Oreochromis niloticus: one gene and its partner. The protein of the gene in region 2 interacts with the protein of the main gene of each other region in a pairwise test. Links are inferred from orthologs where the notes say so. Each region holds a gene or a part of one and is shown on either strand. Other genes may lie near its edges.

The links.
Region 1: the proteins of lemd3 (region 2) and smad9 interact in binary tests that used the Homo sapiens proteins (3 or more experiments, as listed by UniProt). The link is inferred for Oreochromis niloticus from reciprocal best matches to the Homo sapiens genes LEMD3 and SMAD9.

The regions. Positions count from the first base shown.
Region 1 is NC_031975.2:15,859,897-15,867,811, reverse strand, and holds the start of smad9 (mothers against decapentaplegic homolog 9), read right to left. Parts: upstream 3,180-7,915; 5' UTR 3,028-3,179; intron 1,238-3,027; 5' UTR 878-1,237; coding exon 682-877; intron 1-681. Other genes in the region: alg5 (dolichyl-phosphate beta-glucosyltransferase), read right to left, coding at 6,975-7,090, 7,401-7,486. UniProt on the Homo sapiens protein: Transcriptional modulator activated by BMP (bone morphogenetic proteins) type 1 receptor kinase. SMAD9 is a receptor-regulated SMAD (R-SMAD).
Region 2 is NC_031981.2:544,635-551,822, reverse strand, and holds the start of lemd3 (inner nuclear membrane protein Man1), read right to left. Parts: upstream 3,158-7,188; 5' UTR 3,084-3,157; coding exon 1,754-3,083; intron 1,228-1,753; coding exon 1,193-1,227; intron 1-1,192.

The DNA of each region.
Region 1 (7,915 bases), on a different chromosome or scaffold from region 2:
TCTTTTTTAAAACAGAACTCTACCAAATTAAATGTGCTGTGTTCACATAAACATTAAATGTTTTTGTACCACTGACCGTTTTACTGAAATACTAAAGCGCTGTAAGAAACTCTGTTTTCATTTTATTTATTATATATTTAATTTACATTTTTAAATTCTTCTGGATATTTTTAAACATGTTAAAAAAAGAAAGAAAGAAAGAAAGAACCAGATTAAAACATTGCACGCATGTGTGTATGTTGCAACTGCCAGTATGGCTGATTATGTGTCTGCATGTTTGAACATGTACACTTATCTTCAATCTGTGGCTTTTATTTGAACTGTGAAGCACTTTGTAAATCTGTTTTTTGAAAAGTGCTATATATAAATAAAATTATTGGAATTAAAGTATTATATATATTATTTATCAACTCTGATTTATAGTTGATAAAATTTATACCTTGTGATCTCATCAATGAAGTCCTGCCCAGGTACAACCGTTAGTCATTTCCTTTGATTCCCAGACAGGTAAAAGCATCCCTTTTTTCCCCCCACAGGAAACAAGAATTACTGCATTACTGTTTGTGTTTGTCTTTCCCATCTTGTAAATGTCGTCCTGTCTAAATAATCTTCGTGTTTATTTTGACCTCTACAATTAGAACTGCTAGACTAAACTTCTATATTGGACACTGTGATACTCACTAGGCTGCCCGGGGCAGCTGAGTGCTCTCTCCAGCTCTTCCATTGCCCCCTTTTTCTTTTTCAGTTTCTTCACTAGAGAGTCTACGGCCTTTTCCGCCCACTTCTCCTCCTCGTCCCCTTGTTTCCAGCCGAGCAGGCGCTTCACTGCCGGGCTGGTGAAGGAGAATAAGGATGTAATGGAGGTAGAGGAGTTCATTATGAGATGGATAAATGGGTGGCAAGACGAGCTGATGGGTCCTGTTAAAGGGATAAAAGTTCCCTTGTGGATAAGAGTGAAGATGCAAATAATGAGCAGCCAGAAGAGGAAACAGAAGAGGTGAGGATGAAAGACGTGGTGTGATGAGTCTGTGTAAACAGGCGCCGTTTTTTCTTTTTCTTTTTTGTATTCCACTGTTACTTCCGAGCGGCTCTAGTAGAGGCGCTGGACTCCTGCCAGTGCAGCGCAAACCCCCTAAATCCCCTCTCTGTGTTGGGATCCGGCAGCTCTGGAGTCGAAGCCTCCAGCAGGGAAGGTTATTCTTTACACAGCCAGAAATCCAGGTCAAGTTTCAATCATCTGGCAGGAGAAGCAAGAGATTGTATTAACAGATAATTCAGCCAAAAAACAAAAAAAAAGAAAAGAAAAAAGTTTGGAGGTTAGGAAGAAAAAAAAAAGAGAGACCTCGGGTTTTATTGGAAAAGCAGAATTAAGACAGAGTCACTAAGGTGATAAGCTGGTGCGGAGTGATGAGAACAGCCAGAGAAAACACCAAACCAAAAACTACTCATATTTAATGAAGTGGGCATCAAAGGTGGATTTTCATGATATGGAGGGCCATATCAGCAGGGCGCTGTTACAGAAAGCACGCCCGCATGAAAGTGATCTCCCCACATGCTGAACAGCAGTGTTATTATTCTCTATGGAGAAAATGAAACACTTCACAAAACTGCTGCAGAAAGCTCAGGCCAAGATGGCCAAGCTCATTTCTAGATTCACCAACAATGAGGAATGTCCTTTCTGGCCTCTGTTTCTATGATCATGCCACTGACGCCCAGGAGCCATACTGTCTGGCCAGAACACATCACAGGGCAGGAGGGGGAGAGGGAGAAAGGGAGGGCGACAGACAGAGAGCTCTCTCCCTCTGTTTGCCTCTCACTGTCCATCTAAATCTACTGAACATTATATATTATTATATGAATGCCAAGAATAAGGTGTAGGCAAAAAAAGTATCAGATTAAAGTTCTATTATTTAGGTAGGGTTCGTGGGTTCGGCAGCATCCTTGTACGCAAAGAAATTCCCAGATATTCATAAAAATAAACACGTAATTTTATTAGTCTCCTGTTTGTGCGTCTTTCTGTAGCATCATGCCCGACCTTTTGGGTGAAACGCATAGTTTTACATCTTGTACTATCAGCTCTTTGCAAATCATCCTTGCATGCCAGAACACTTTTCCACATGTTTGTGCGCATCTGATGCCGAAAGGGGAAAAAAATATGAATCTTTTGGCAGACTGAGTTTATAAAAGTGAACTGGAAGCTCAGCTTCCCCCCCTTTCCTGTAAAAGAAACAGAACCACTTTAGACTTTCTTCTGAATTTCTTTTTTTTTTTTTTTTTTTTTTTGTGTCAAACTAAACACAGGTGATGAGTTATGCGGATCTGTATGTTCACTTTTTCTTTGCCCTCATGTGCTCATGGCCAGCGCCGGTTTCCCGCAGACAGACACACAGACAGCTGGGGTTTACAATGACAGCAAAAAGCGCACAGGGCTCAATGCGGCATCAGTCCACCGCTGCTGCTGCTTTTATGAAGCCTGGCGTCACTCAGTCTGCAGGCTCAGATAGGCTAATTACCTAATGCTTTATCACCAGGACACCCCTTCCCAAAAAAAGTAAACACGCCAGCTTCCTTTTTACTACAACTCAACTGCGTGTCATTCTGCAGCTACAAAATCCAGGCTCGGACCTAACCTCCACACCTTCACTGCAAATATGCGATTAGGAGCAATGACATTGAAGTCGCTCGGCTCATTCTTGTGTGATGAAGGCATGCTACAACAGAGAAAAGCTCCAGCAAATCAAACACGTGTAGGAGCAAAGAAAACTGCAGTTATTATTTTTAAATACGTCTTGAATAATTAATTCAGTTCAGCTTTGCAACTTTATACTAACCTCAGCATGTAGTAGATGACAAATCTGAACAAATGAAACCCCCCTTAAAGTTTGCCGACAGTGCAAGAGGGTAACATTTAATTTTGATACTATTTCTCTCTTAACAGGAATTCAAATTCGCGTGACATAAAAAACAAAACAAATATACATTTAAAATATTTAAAGGAAAAACGAGCCAGTTAGTTTATTTTCTCACCTCTGTAACAAGTGCAGTGCAGACAGCCGTGTGAGTGTGCGACGCTTTCCTGTTTGTAGTAAGTCAGGCCAGCACACTGACGCTGCGAAGGTGTGTGCCTGTTTGTATGTGTGTGTGATTGAGTCTGTGAGCATGTGTAGAAGGGTCAAGTTGGCCTCAATAACACTTTGCGCCCTGCTGGTGATTTCTAAATAAAAGCATCGCCAACTCAATTTGTAGACGCCAGTTTATAAACGAATATAGCCACAGGCTCCATTTGACAAGAGCCAGATTAAAAAAATGAAAGAAAAAGTTCCTATATGTTTATACATTTTTGTCTATCTTCAATCAATATTTGAAAATTCTACTTTTAAAAGTGAAGTACAAAACTACTTTTGTCCGCTGTGGAAGAGAAACAGACATAACTAATGATTAAATGCAGAGTGGTGCGGTAAGCACCAAGAGAGTGGAAAAGGTGAGTGAAAAACAAACAAACACTTGGCATTACAAATCATTAACTTTAATAAAATAACATCATTATTTTTTATTTAAATCTTCTAAGTGAAATTATTATCAGTAATTTCTACAGGTAAGTGTTAGAAATGAGGTTGTAAAGTAAGTCTACATGAAAATATATAAAATGTATGTTTTGTTTTGTTTGCTTTTGGAGAGGACGTCGCACACAGCGTGAACTTCCGCGTTTATTATGAAGGCTCAGTCTTAGTTATTTCCGGCGTTGTTCGTTGCGGTCGCTTTGACGCAGGTTTGTGAAGCTTGGAGGCTCCACTCCTCCAGCAGCCCCAGCCGAGCGCCACACAGCCTCGGCGGCGTCAGCCTGGCTGGAACCGCAGCGCCTGCATGCTAGATCCCTCCGCCTCCCCCCCTCCTGGAACTTTCTCAGGATTTCAGGGATTTCAGATTCAGCGCTCGCGGCAGCACGCACGAGCGTTTGTGTTCGAGCACCTGAGCTCCCAATCACCTAATCACGATATAAAGGAAAAGAAAAATAGAGAAATAAAAATCCCCAAATCACACCTGTTCTAGTATTGCAGAAGATTTCACTGATTTTACCTGATAAAACTCTAATAATTATTGTACTTAAAGTGTTTATCAGCGAGTTTTTGTTACACCTATCTCTCTGCCTGCGAGGGTCTGTTTGCTGTCATCTTCTTCCTTTACAGCAACGAGCACCTGCTGGGCGCAGGCCAGGCTATAGGTGCAATGTACCGAGTATAAGACTAAATCTGCTTCTTTATATTAACTTTTAAGTTATATATAAAGTCCAGCTCGGGCACGATCAAATCTGCTATCATATCCAACTACCTCACAGTGTTACTTTCCTGTGGTCGCGCGCACGTGCACGCACATGCTGCACCTGTAGGCTTAAAAAAGAAAAGATAAAGTAAAACATCTTCCGGTTTAGTACTCAGTCTTCATGTATGATTCCACACATGCAGTGAAATCATCTTTATTTATATTTTTTTTTTCTTCGTTTTAAAAATCCAAGTTTGTTTTGTTATCCATTGTTGGGAGCGCTGAGGTCTTTCTCACTGCGGATGGATACGATCCTTTATTGGGAGTGCCGTGACTGGTCCAGCTAATGACGCAAGCCCGGCTGGCGACAGTGAGTCTACAAGTTTGACATTTTCAGAGTTTACAGCAACTGCTGCGGGATGTAACAACACTCCCAACGCGAAGTGAAACTACTTTGAATATCCCATAAAAAACAATATGATTTTTTTTTTCATCTTAACCACCAGGTAAACCATCAGAACACACCACTAAGTCAATCCGCTGGTGTGCGCCTAAAAAGGTGGGGGACTATGAAGGTCCAAGGTTTGGTTCGGGGACCGCCAAAGAAGCCGCGGGAAGGTCTCAGAGCAGGACCGAGAGCAGTGGGCTGTGTGTTTGATCACCGTTTTAGATGTGAGCACAACAGCCTGTAAGGGTTTTAATCTCCCATTAGAAACACAGGGCCTATTTTGTGGAGCATTACATTTGGTTACTTGAAATGAAATTTCATTTCATTTCATGGACTAATTGGTGCCAATCGAACGCTTTTGCAAATCTTCAAATATGGCACCCTAATTTTCTGCAGTGCCAAATCTGGAGGCAGGAAACTAGAAATGTGCAGCTTGCGATTCCCCACTTCTGTGTCTTGTGTGGTAGGGCAGACACAGCCAGACGAGCGGGGCACAAACAGGATGCTCTCCCTGGGGCTCCGGGAGGCCCTCAGAGACATCCGCATGAGCGCAAAGCCGAGACCTCAGGCTTGCATAAGAAAACAGCACTATTAAAGTTCATTTACTCAGACCACAAAAACGCTTGCTGGACTCCTTCCAAGATGTCCACACTAGGCCTGGGAGACAAACAAAAGGATGAATATTGAGATAAATACCGCAGTCCAGGGTTTCCTACTTTCTTTCATGTTGAGGAAAGGCCAGATCACACTGCCTACTGTGCTGAACATTTCCTAGAGCTGACCCCAGATAACTTAATCAGTTAAACATGATTTATACCAAATTAAACGTTTAGTGGAGTTAGAGCCTGCAGACATCTAGTAATAATATTTCAAAGGTACTTTCCTGACCCTGGTACTCTCTGTAAGAAGCCTGAAAGGTGCCTCACTGCATGTTTGGGAACCATCAGTCACAATTAGTCAAGTTTTAAGACCCATTAAAGATCCTCGGCCCTACTATAAGAAACTCCTTTAGCTGCAGTATTAACAAAGAGATGTCATGTCTTTACAAAAAATCTGTAGCTGCAGTAAGCATTGTTACAAACACAGCAGAGCAGTTTAAGCTTCTCTGTATTGTATGAAACCATGTCATCACTGATGGTTCTTTAATCTCTACGTCAGAGGTGTCAAACACGAGGCCTGGGGGCCAGAATCGGTCTGGCAAAGAACTCAATTTGGCCCACTGCTCAAATTTGGAAAATATAAAATGTGAAGGAGGGCATTGATTTTGGATTTGAATTCATAGGTTTCATAGCATTTCCTGCTGATAAAGAGCTGGACCACTGCCATTGGACTTCTTTTTATATTAAATGGGATTAACTGTGAAGTTAAACATCTTTACACTGACAGAAAGGGCAGTTTCGTTGCTACGGCCAAAGATCAAAGTGGGCTGTATGTGGCCGACCGTGTAAAATGAGTTTGTTTTCTGCACATTTCTATCAATTTGTCTCTCTTTCTGCTCAGGATAAATCCTGCCTATCACTCGGTATGAGCTGGAATAGGCTTCAGCCCAACTGCAACTAAGGTGAGACAAGCAGTTAAAGGATTGGATTAATGGATGTTTTTCTTCCTATTCACCAATCTGATTACATACTGTAAAGCGTGTAGTTGTTTTCATACTGTCAGTCATTCATTGATTCTATTTGACAGCAGTGCAAAAAACCCCAAAAAACTCAAAATCAATCAAATGCTCATATTTTTTTGAATTAACAACAGTTGTCAGTTACATTTCTGTAGCTCAACCTATTGCTGCAGCTTCAGTTACTAAGTTAATAACAATTATCGAGTCATAAATCACTGACTTTTTTATTATTCTTGTTCATGTCATTAAGCCCATCAACCCTACAAAATAAAATCACTCCCTCACATCAGTAGGTCCTCCACATTACACCACTAAAAGTCCTTCTCACGGCTGACTGGGCACAACATGATGTAACTTAGTTCATGGACGAACCACAGAGATGTTCTGTAACCCGTGGCAACAGAATTTTTTAACATAAGCCATAACAAACGGTAATCACATAAAAAAAAGGCAGGATCATGAGGAAACCAAAACTGTGTCATTACTTCCATCCAGTGATGCCTGGAAAGGAGAAGTATTGATACACCGTGCTTTGCTTCTGATTACAGTGAATGATGGACACAGCTGTAATGCTCCCCCCCAAACCACCCAAAGGCTCGGTGGCCGTATCATAGGCCGTCTCTATGATACAAGGGCTCGTCTGATTGGCTAATCAGTCTTATGCGATGACTGCAGTTTCCAGGCTCCGGTGATGTAGCGCAGGCGAATGAAAACCAGGTCTCGTCCCATCTGCAGCCAGCTCCAAAACGGTACCAGCTTGGACCCTGTTAGAACAAACCCAGAGGCGCTTCAGCTTCAAGTCGTGCTTTCATAAGAAAAATACTGGAAATATGCCTGACAGTGCAATAAAAAGGAAGACTTTATTGCAGTGGTGCTAGGCTGGCTTATATGAAGCTCACACACAAAGATCAACTTCTACAAATTATTACAAAAGGTCTAAAAATAAATGCAATCAACCACAAACAGACTTCCAAACACACCCTACAGAGATATTTATAGCCCTGCAGATAGGTGGCATGGTGGGAGGAGACACGTCCACATATTTCATGGAAAGAAAAAAAAAAAAAGTCGTACCTTCTATTTCAGTCCAGTTGACCGCCACCTCGGCTATGGGGATTTTAAAACACTGGGCAATGTACAGGAGCTCCACATCAAAAGCCCTGTGAGAAGAAAGTGGATTTAAAGTTCCTGTTTTACTGCAGGTTAAAACCTAAAACTCCACTGTGACTCCATCACCTGTGCTAGGTATAAATCCTCAGGACTTCTTAGTTATTTAGCATTAATTAGTGTGATGCTCACAACTGATTTGGACACAGAAGACTGTTTAAATTTCATCAAAAATTCACTTCTTGGAGTTTTCACCAGTTAATTATCAGAAAACAGATGAAACATCCTTGTGACCAGTGTTTTTTTCTGTTACTTTGTATCATGGACAGTTTGCTGCTCACCTAACGGCCACTCAGGAGGGATCCTATCCAGATGCCTGAAGCACCTTAACTGTCTGTTTTTGATTTGAAGGAGAAGCAGATATATTCTGAATCTATTTTAAATTTCTAATGGAGAGCCCTGCCACCCTTTGCTGCAAGCTC
Region 2 (7,188 bases):
TACAGGGTTTAAGACCTCATAGTACAATATCATCTCAACAGAGCACCTCACTCTCAGACTGCAGGCTTACTTGTGGCTCATATTTAAAAGTAGAATGGGAGGCAGAGCCTTCAGCTTTCAGGGCCCCCTCCACTGAACCAGCTCCCAGTTTGGACAGACGTCCTCGCTACCTTTAAGATTAGGCTTCAAACTTCAAACTTCCCCTTTTGGTAAAGCATCTGGTCAGGGATGGATCCGGTGACCCTGAACCCTCCCTTAGTTACTGTGCAATAGGCCTAGGTTACTGTGGGCTTCCCATGATGCACTGAGTGTTTCTTGGTGGCTCACTGTGCTTACACACCTCTCTGTATGTAATCATTTATCTATCATCGCTTGCTCTTTTCCACAGCCTGTCTTTCTCCCATCACCCTCACCTGGTCGTGGCAGGTGGCTGCCCCTCCCCAGGTTCTGCCAGAGGTTTCTTCCTGTTAAAAGGGTGTTTTTACTTTCCACTGTGTGCTTGGTCACAGGGTGTTGTTGGGGTTGTCTCTGTATACGGTAGAGTTTCTACCTTACAATACGGAGGACTGCTCTTGTGATTGGTGCGAGACGAATAAAACTGAATTATTGCTGAATCATAAACACTTTCCTGAACTGAGACAAGTGAGACCAGCAGTTCTTGAGAGCCTTTTTTGTGACCTTCTGGATGACTATCTGATAACTCTCGGTTTCTCTCGGTAGGCCGTCCACTCCTGGGAAGTTTCATCACTGGTTCAAGTTTTCTTCAGTTGTGGATAATGGCTTTCACCTCAGTTTGCTCCCAAAGCCTGGCTTTGTAACCCTTTTCAGACTGATGGATGTCAGAGACTTTGTTCTTATGTTTCTTTAAATTGTAGTTAATTAATGATTAAACAAGGAGGCAATTACTTTTCAACATACGGCCCATTAGACCTGTATACCCGTTTTCAGATCAAATCCTCATTTATCATATTGTATTTACTTGGATTATCTTATATCTAATGTCACAATTTAGTTGATGATCTGAAGCGTGTGACAAATATACCAAAAAAAATAAATAAATCAGCTTTAGAATGAAGCATTGTAAGTTACTGACATGGTACACACTGTTAATGTAATCACATTTTCTGTGCTGTACATTTGAAAACCTCTTAACTTAAAGAGTAGGGAGAACCTGAAGAAAGTATTTACTTACATTAGGCGTGTCAAACTCCGGGGGAGGGCTATTAACTGAAAATGAAGACGAGACAGACAGTCAGGACAATTCTCAAAGAAGTTTCCAAAGTACATGGATTGAGAAAAACATCGATAAATTACTTTTTCTGTTAAATATAAAACTGTTAGTGTGTGCATTCTTAGCTTTTGCACATTCTGCCTCATTTTAAGTGTAACATGATTCTTTTGATAGTCACATAATCCTTTTATCTGTAGGGGCACAAAAAAACAACTCCTCAGAAATAGGTGGAAGTGAATTTGGAGCACCGTCTCCTTCCGACTGCTGCTTGTTCTGTGCTTGGGCAGACTGACTGTACGGATTCCTTCCAGTCTAAAAATGCTCATCTTTGGATCTGTTTGTATTTGGGAATCTCTCCAACTTTGGTGTTTGTTCATCAGGAACATCCACTCAAAATACACAAAGAATAAACACTTCTATACATTACCAGGCAATAAAACAATTACATGCATTACAGTCCCTAAACTGCCACAACTTTAACACTCCACGGAAACCAAATAGGCAGTTCGCCCAGATACTTACTGACGTTATCCACCTCCAAGGCTCCTGAACCCCTCATCCTGAGGTACATGAGCCCCAGCAGCACAAAGAAGAGGCACGCCGCTGTGAGCAGGAACATGGACAGGTAGTGAGCGCTAAAACTACCTGAGGAAGCTAGCTCTTCCCTTTTGAACTGCTGGAGAAGCTCATCTTCGGGAGCAGACACGTTTCTCTTGAGCGCTGCGTGGCCGCAGGAATGGTTGGGAGCAGGGGTGTGATTAGAGTGGTTGCGCCTGTACGTCTGCGACAGACCGCTGTAGGTGGAGAAGCGCGGTCTCAGCTCGGTGCTGTTGCTTCTGGATGCTCCATCCTCCCCCGTGGCCGGACTGTTTTTACCGGTATATCCTTTGTGGTTTTCGGTAAGTGACCCGTAGATGGGTTTCCTTGGAAGTGTGTGACTCCGCGAGTCTCCCAAGCGGCTAAAGTCCCTTCTCTTTAAATCATCTTCCTCTTCATCCTCACCTTGACTCCCCCCCATGTTTAGAAAACGACGAGGCGTAGCTTCTGTGTTCTGCCCATCGGTCGCAGACCCTCGATCAGTAACGTCGGAAGATAACGCCACACTGGGGTGGTTTCGTCGAGGCTCCAATCTGTCGCATTCTGGGTCGCCGACGCCAAGCCCACTAACTTCCTCCTCGTCCGAGTCTGAGTAATCTCCAGCTAATTTGCTAGCATTCAGGCGAGACGCCCCGCGACCATTTAAAGAGCGGGACTTCTTTTCCATATCCTCCTCATAATTGTCCTCGTCCCCCGAGTCGTCGTAACGCCGTAGTCCCGCATCAGACCTGGATCTGTCACCGACTCCCCAGCCCAGTGAGACACGTCTCTCTCCGTTCTGACCCAGGGAAAAATTGCTGCTTGGTGTCGCACTGTGGTCGTACCGACTCTTGATAGCCACACTCGGCGTTGAGGCAGGCCTAATCTTAGGCTGCTGTTGAGAACTGGAGCTTCTGTTCGCTCTGCCACTGTGACCGAGGCCTTTCCTCTTTAGTGGGGTTTCAGCGTCAGACTCGTCGGAGCTGAAGCCGAGGAGGGAGGACTTCCGGCCCGGTCTCCTGCTTGTATTCAGGTGCGTGACGTCATGGCTGACTGGCCTAGATGCCACTGTGCTACCGCCGCCAGTGGTACTGTTAATGGCACCGATAGTACGGGTTTTACCAGGTCTTAGTCCTCGCTGCTGTTGCTCTTCGCGAAGCTTCTTGAGTTTCTTCAAGTACACCGGACGAGTGTTTTCAGTAACGGGCCCTGGAGTGAAACCAAAACGTTTTAATTCCAAAAAAAGCTCCTCATCCGTTAACTGCGTTGACGCCATCTTGAAAAGACCTCGAAGACGGTTCTGTGACGGAAATGACGTAGAGGTGAAGTGGCAACCAACTGGGTTGTGTTCAAAATCACCAACAAGCTGCGAAAATATGTCGCAGACACCCCCCTTTATTACGTCGCGTATGTTTTCAAATAATATTTTGTTTCACTTTTTCTGTGCGCATATTAAATATCTAATTACTTTTTTTTCAAACAAATAGCTTTATTGAACACGTATACAAACAAACAAAAGTAACCATCTAACAACTGAAGGCACGCACGGTAACAACGAAAAACATCCAAGTATGAAAAATATAAATAAATACAAATCACACAAAAAGGAAAAAGAGTCAGAGAAAACAATCACATTAAATCAAAATTGTTAAGTAATGAAAGTAATTTCACGTCACAGACTCACGTCATTCTTCCAGTAATTCAAGTCAGGCTTAGCTTTGAAAAATCTGCATCAGTGAATAAAATATTTTCCAATTAAATTTACTGTTTTTCTCGTTTGTTTGTTTTCTGTTTTTTTTTTTTTTAAACAATTGTTGTTGTTGTTGTCTTTTATCTAAAAATTCCACTTTACTACTCAGTGAATGGAGTAAATGGTCCAAAAAAGGACCAAGAACATCTTCAGAGACTGGATGAAGTCCTGCGGCAATTAGAGGAGGCGGCCCTGAGTTTAAATGTCAGTTCACAGAAAAGGAAGTGACATTTTTAGCACACCGGGTGGATAAGACAAGTTTACATCCAGTGCTGGAGGCGGTACCCCCAAAATCAGTGACAGAGCTCAAAGCTTATTTGGAGTTGTTGAACTTCTGTTCTTGCCAAACTTGTCCACGCTGGTGGGCCCACTGCACAAGCTTCTGAGAAAGGAGGAACAGTGGTGTTGGGCACCAAAGTTTTCTGCAAGTCAAAAACTGGAACTGGTGCAGTCAAGTAGTGTATTGGCACACTATGATGAGAAGAAAGATTTAATTCTATCTTGCGATGCGTCCACCTACAGAGTGTGAGCAGTGCTAGCTCACCGCATGCCAGATGGTCATGCGGGTGTGACTGATGTAGCTGTGCCCTGTTGGCACAGTCACACCCGGGAATGAGACGCATGAAGGGCCTGGCCAGAAGCTACATGTGGTGGCTGCATATGGAGACTGACATTGAAGACAAGGTGAAGTACTGCAGTACGTGTCAAGAACATAGACTCAGGCCTCAAGAGGAACCGCTACACCCCTGGGAGTGGCCGGAGAAGCCATTGAGAATACAGATAGATAGATAGATAGATAGATAGATAGATAGATAGATAGATAGATAGATAGATAGATATAATTTTATTTCGAACATGCAAATATAATTGAAATAACAACAGAAAAAAACAAAACTTAAAAATCATCAAGTTTTCATGTATATACCTATGTCTACAGAATGTGTGTGCTTGAAAAGGAGTAGGATGAAGTTTACACTTTTCTTGTTCCTACCCCCTTATTTCAAATTTCATTGCTTACAAATCCATATCCAGGACTCAACATTATTTGATCAGATATGTTTAACTATGTACAAATCTAACACATTGAACATACAGAAATAAAACCGTTTTCAGCATGTAAACCAGAACAACGACAAACTACATTTTTACATAAACTAATCTCCCTGTCTATAACACCCCTTAATCGCTGAGCTTATTTTATATCTATGTGACAAACACCTTAATGAACACTTAAGCTTGGGTTACTCAGGCCTTGATCTATAAAAAATGAGGACACAATGAGACGACTCAGTCACTGAGAGGAAGATTTCCTATATTCATGCAATTTATTATTTTTGAACAATCGTGTGAGTTTTTGTATTGATGTACTTGTCTTGATCTCACCTGTACAGGTGTTCCACACACTAACTCCTCTGACTGTAATGCTGTGATATTTTACATTTGTCCTTACTACTGGCTTGCTGAACATAAGGATTCCTCTCAGGTCAGGAGTATTTGGTCTTATTTGGAACAAGTTCTGAATGTTGTGGGGCAAAGATTTATTTGCTGCTTTGTAAATTGTTTACGCAGTTCTGAGGTCAACCAAATCTTTAAATTTGAGAATATTTAATTTGATAAAAAGTGGATTTGATGGTTCTCTTGAAGTAGTTTTATTTATTATCGATTATGCTGGCCCATTTTTGGGTAAAATGTTCCTAGTAATAGTGGACGCCCACTCCAAATGGTTATATGTGTGTCCAGTGGCATCAGCTGCCACTATAGACTGCTTGAGAAACCGTTTCAGCGCTCACGGTGGTCTCGGACAATGCCCAGTGTTTTGTAAGTGCACAAACTAAAGAGTTCATGGCAAAGAACAGCATCACACATGTCAGCTCTGCTCCATATCACCCAGCATCTAATGGGTTAGCAGAAAGAGCGGTGCAAACTTTCAAAGAACTCATGAAAAAGAGTACCGGAGACACACTGGCAACCAAGTTAAACAGGGCTTTGTTTAGTTACCGAATCACAACAGCGTCCCCCGCTGAGTTGATGATGGGCCGGAAGTTGAGTTGTACTCTTGATCTCATACACCCCGACTTGAAATAGAAAGTGACATCAAAACAAGATAGCCAAAGACTGCATCATGATAGACATGCCAAGGAGGGCACATTGGTTATTGGAGACACAGTGTATACCAGAAACTATGCCGCAGGACCCAAATGGATACCAGGACTTATACAGGAAATGAAGGGGCCTGTTTCCTGCACGGTGATGCCGGGCAATGGGAAGGTGGTGGCTGTTTGCCCGCCTGGAGCCTTACCTACCAGCAGGAATACCCGAGGGCCACCAGGGCGAGCCCCCAAAAGCTGCACCAATCATCCATGCTGAGACGATGGACACTGATGAAAGAAACATGGAGGTGCAAGTTACACCAGTGGTGACGCCGCATACAGAGAATAGTGGCTCACAGGAGTCGCCAGCCACAGGGTTGCGAGTTTTTTACATTTTAATTAAGGTTACGTTTTTTATGGGTATTTTATGTAGTACTTAAAACTACAGAGTAGTTTCAGTTTAACGGGGGAGGAATGTTATGATGTAACAGGGGGTGGGCGGGGTTTGGTCCACCAGGGGGCAACAGTCTGTGGAGAGCGGTGTCAGCGTTGGTTGGGTATGCTCCATTTCAGTAAAGACATGACTGTGAGGTCGACATAGTCTCTGTGGTTCCTTATTGCACGGCATATCACATTTAGTCTTCTAAGTAGTCTTGTGCAAAAGTCTTGAACCACCATTTCTCTGTTTTTGTTGGGGAAATGAGTGCAATGATTTATCTTCTTCTTTGGATATTTCTGCTTTTTTATTTTTGTCACGAAGATCTGCTGAGTCGCGCCCTCAGGGAGGCCAATCCATGATGGTGTTCCAGTGTGTGTTGTATACAGTGCTTTGATATAAGAATCAGTCCATGTACCATTTACCACTGCGTGTTTTTCTATCTAACTATGCTTTTACTGCATTGACAGTGTGTTTGGGATCATTGTCATGCTGAAAAATGAGGCTGTTGCCAATTAGATGATTTAAAGATCAAAATTTAATGGTACTGTTTAAATTGATCAGTCCATCAGACCTATTGCCACTGATTTTTGCAGTCTGGTTATTGTGTAATGTTGCATACCTTTAACAGCCACCCTTTAACCCAGACCATTTCTGATGAGGCTTCAGTGATGGATCAGCTGAAGGGTCATCGCTCAGGTCCTGTTTCAGGTCTTTGCAGGAGTCTATCCTATTTCTTAAGGACATGACTGTCAGATACTGTTCATCTGCTGTAGATAGTTTACAGCCCCAAATTTCTATTCCAGCCTTTGAAATGTTCTTGTTTATATGACCTCCATAAAACAAATGGATTTTGTAGTTCATGTTCTGCACATAAGAGTTTCAAAACAGTGAACATCTGGGTTTATGTTAAGGAGAGCAGTGTGACATTGTTCTGATTCTCAGTGCACGGCTGTTTTCCTTGACCTCAAATACGTTTGCATTTAGGTCAAGGAAAAGGTTAGGAATAAGAGATAGAACATACTTTTGGAACACGCTGGAAAAGTCATACCCCACGGCATTCCCATACCTTGTAACTCGGGAGTGGCACCAAAAAACACAAAAC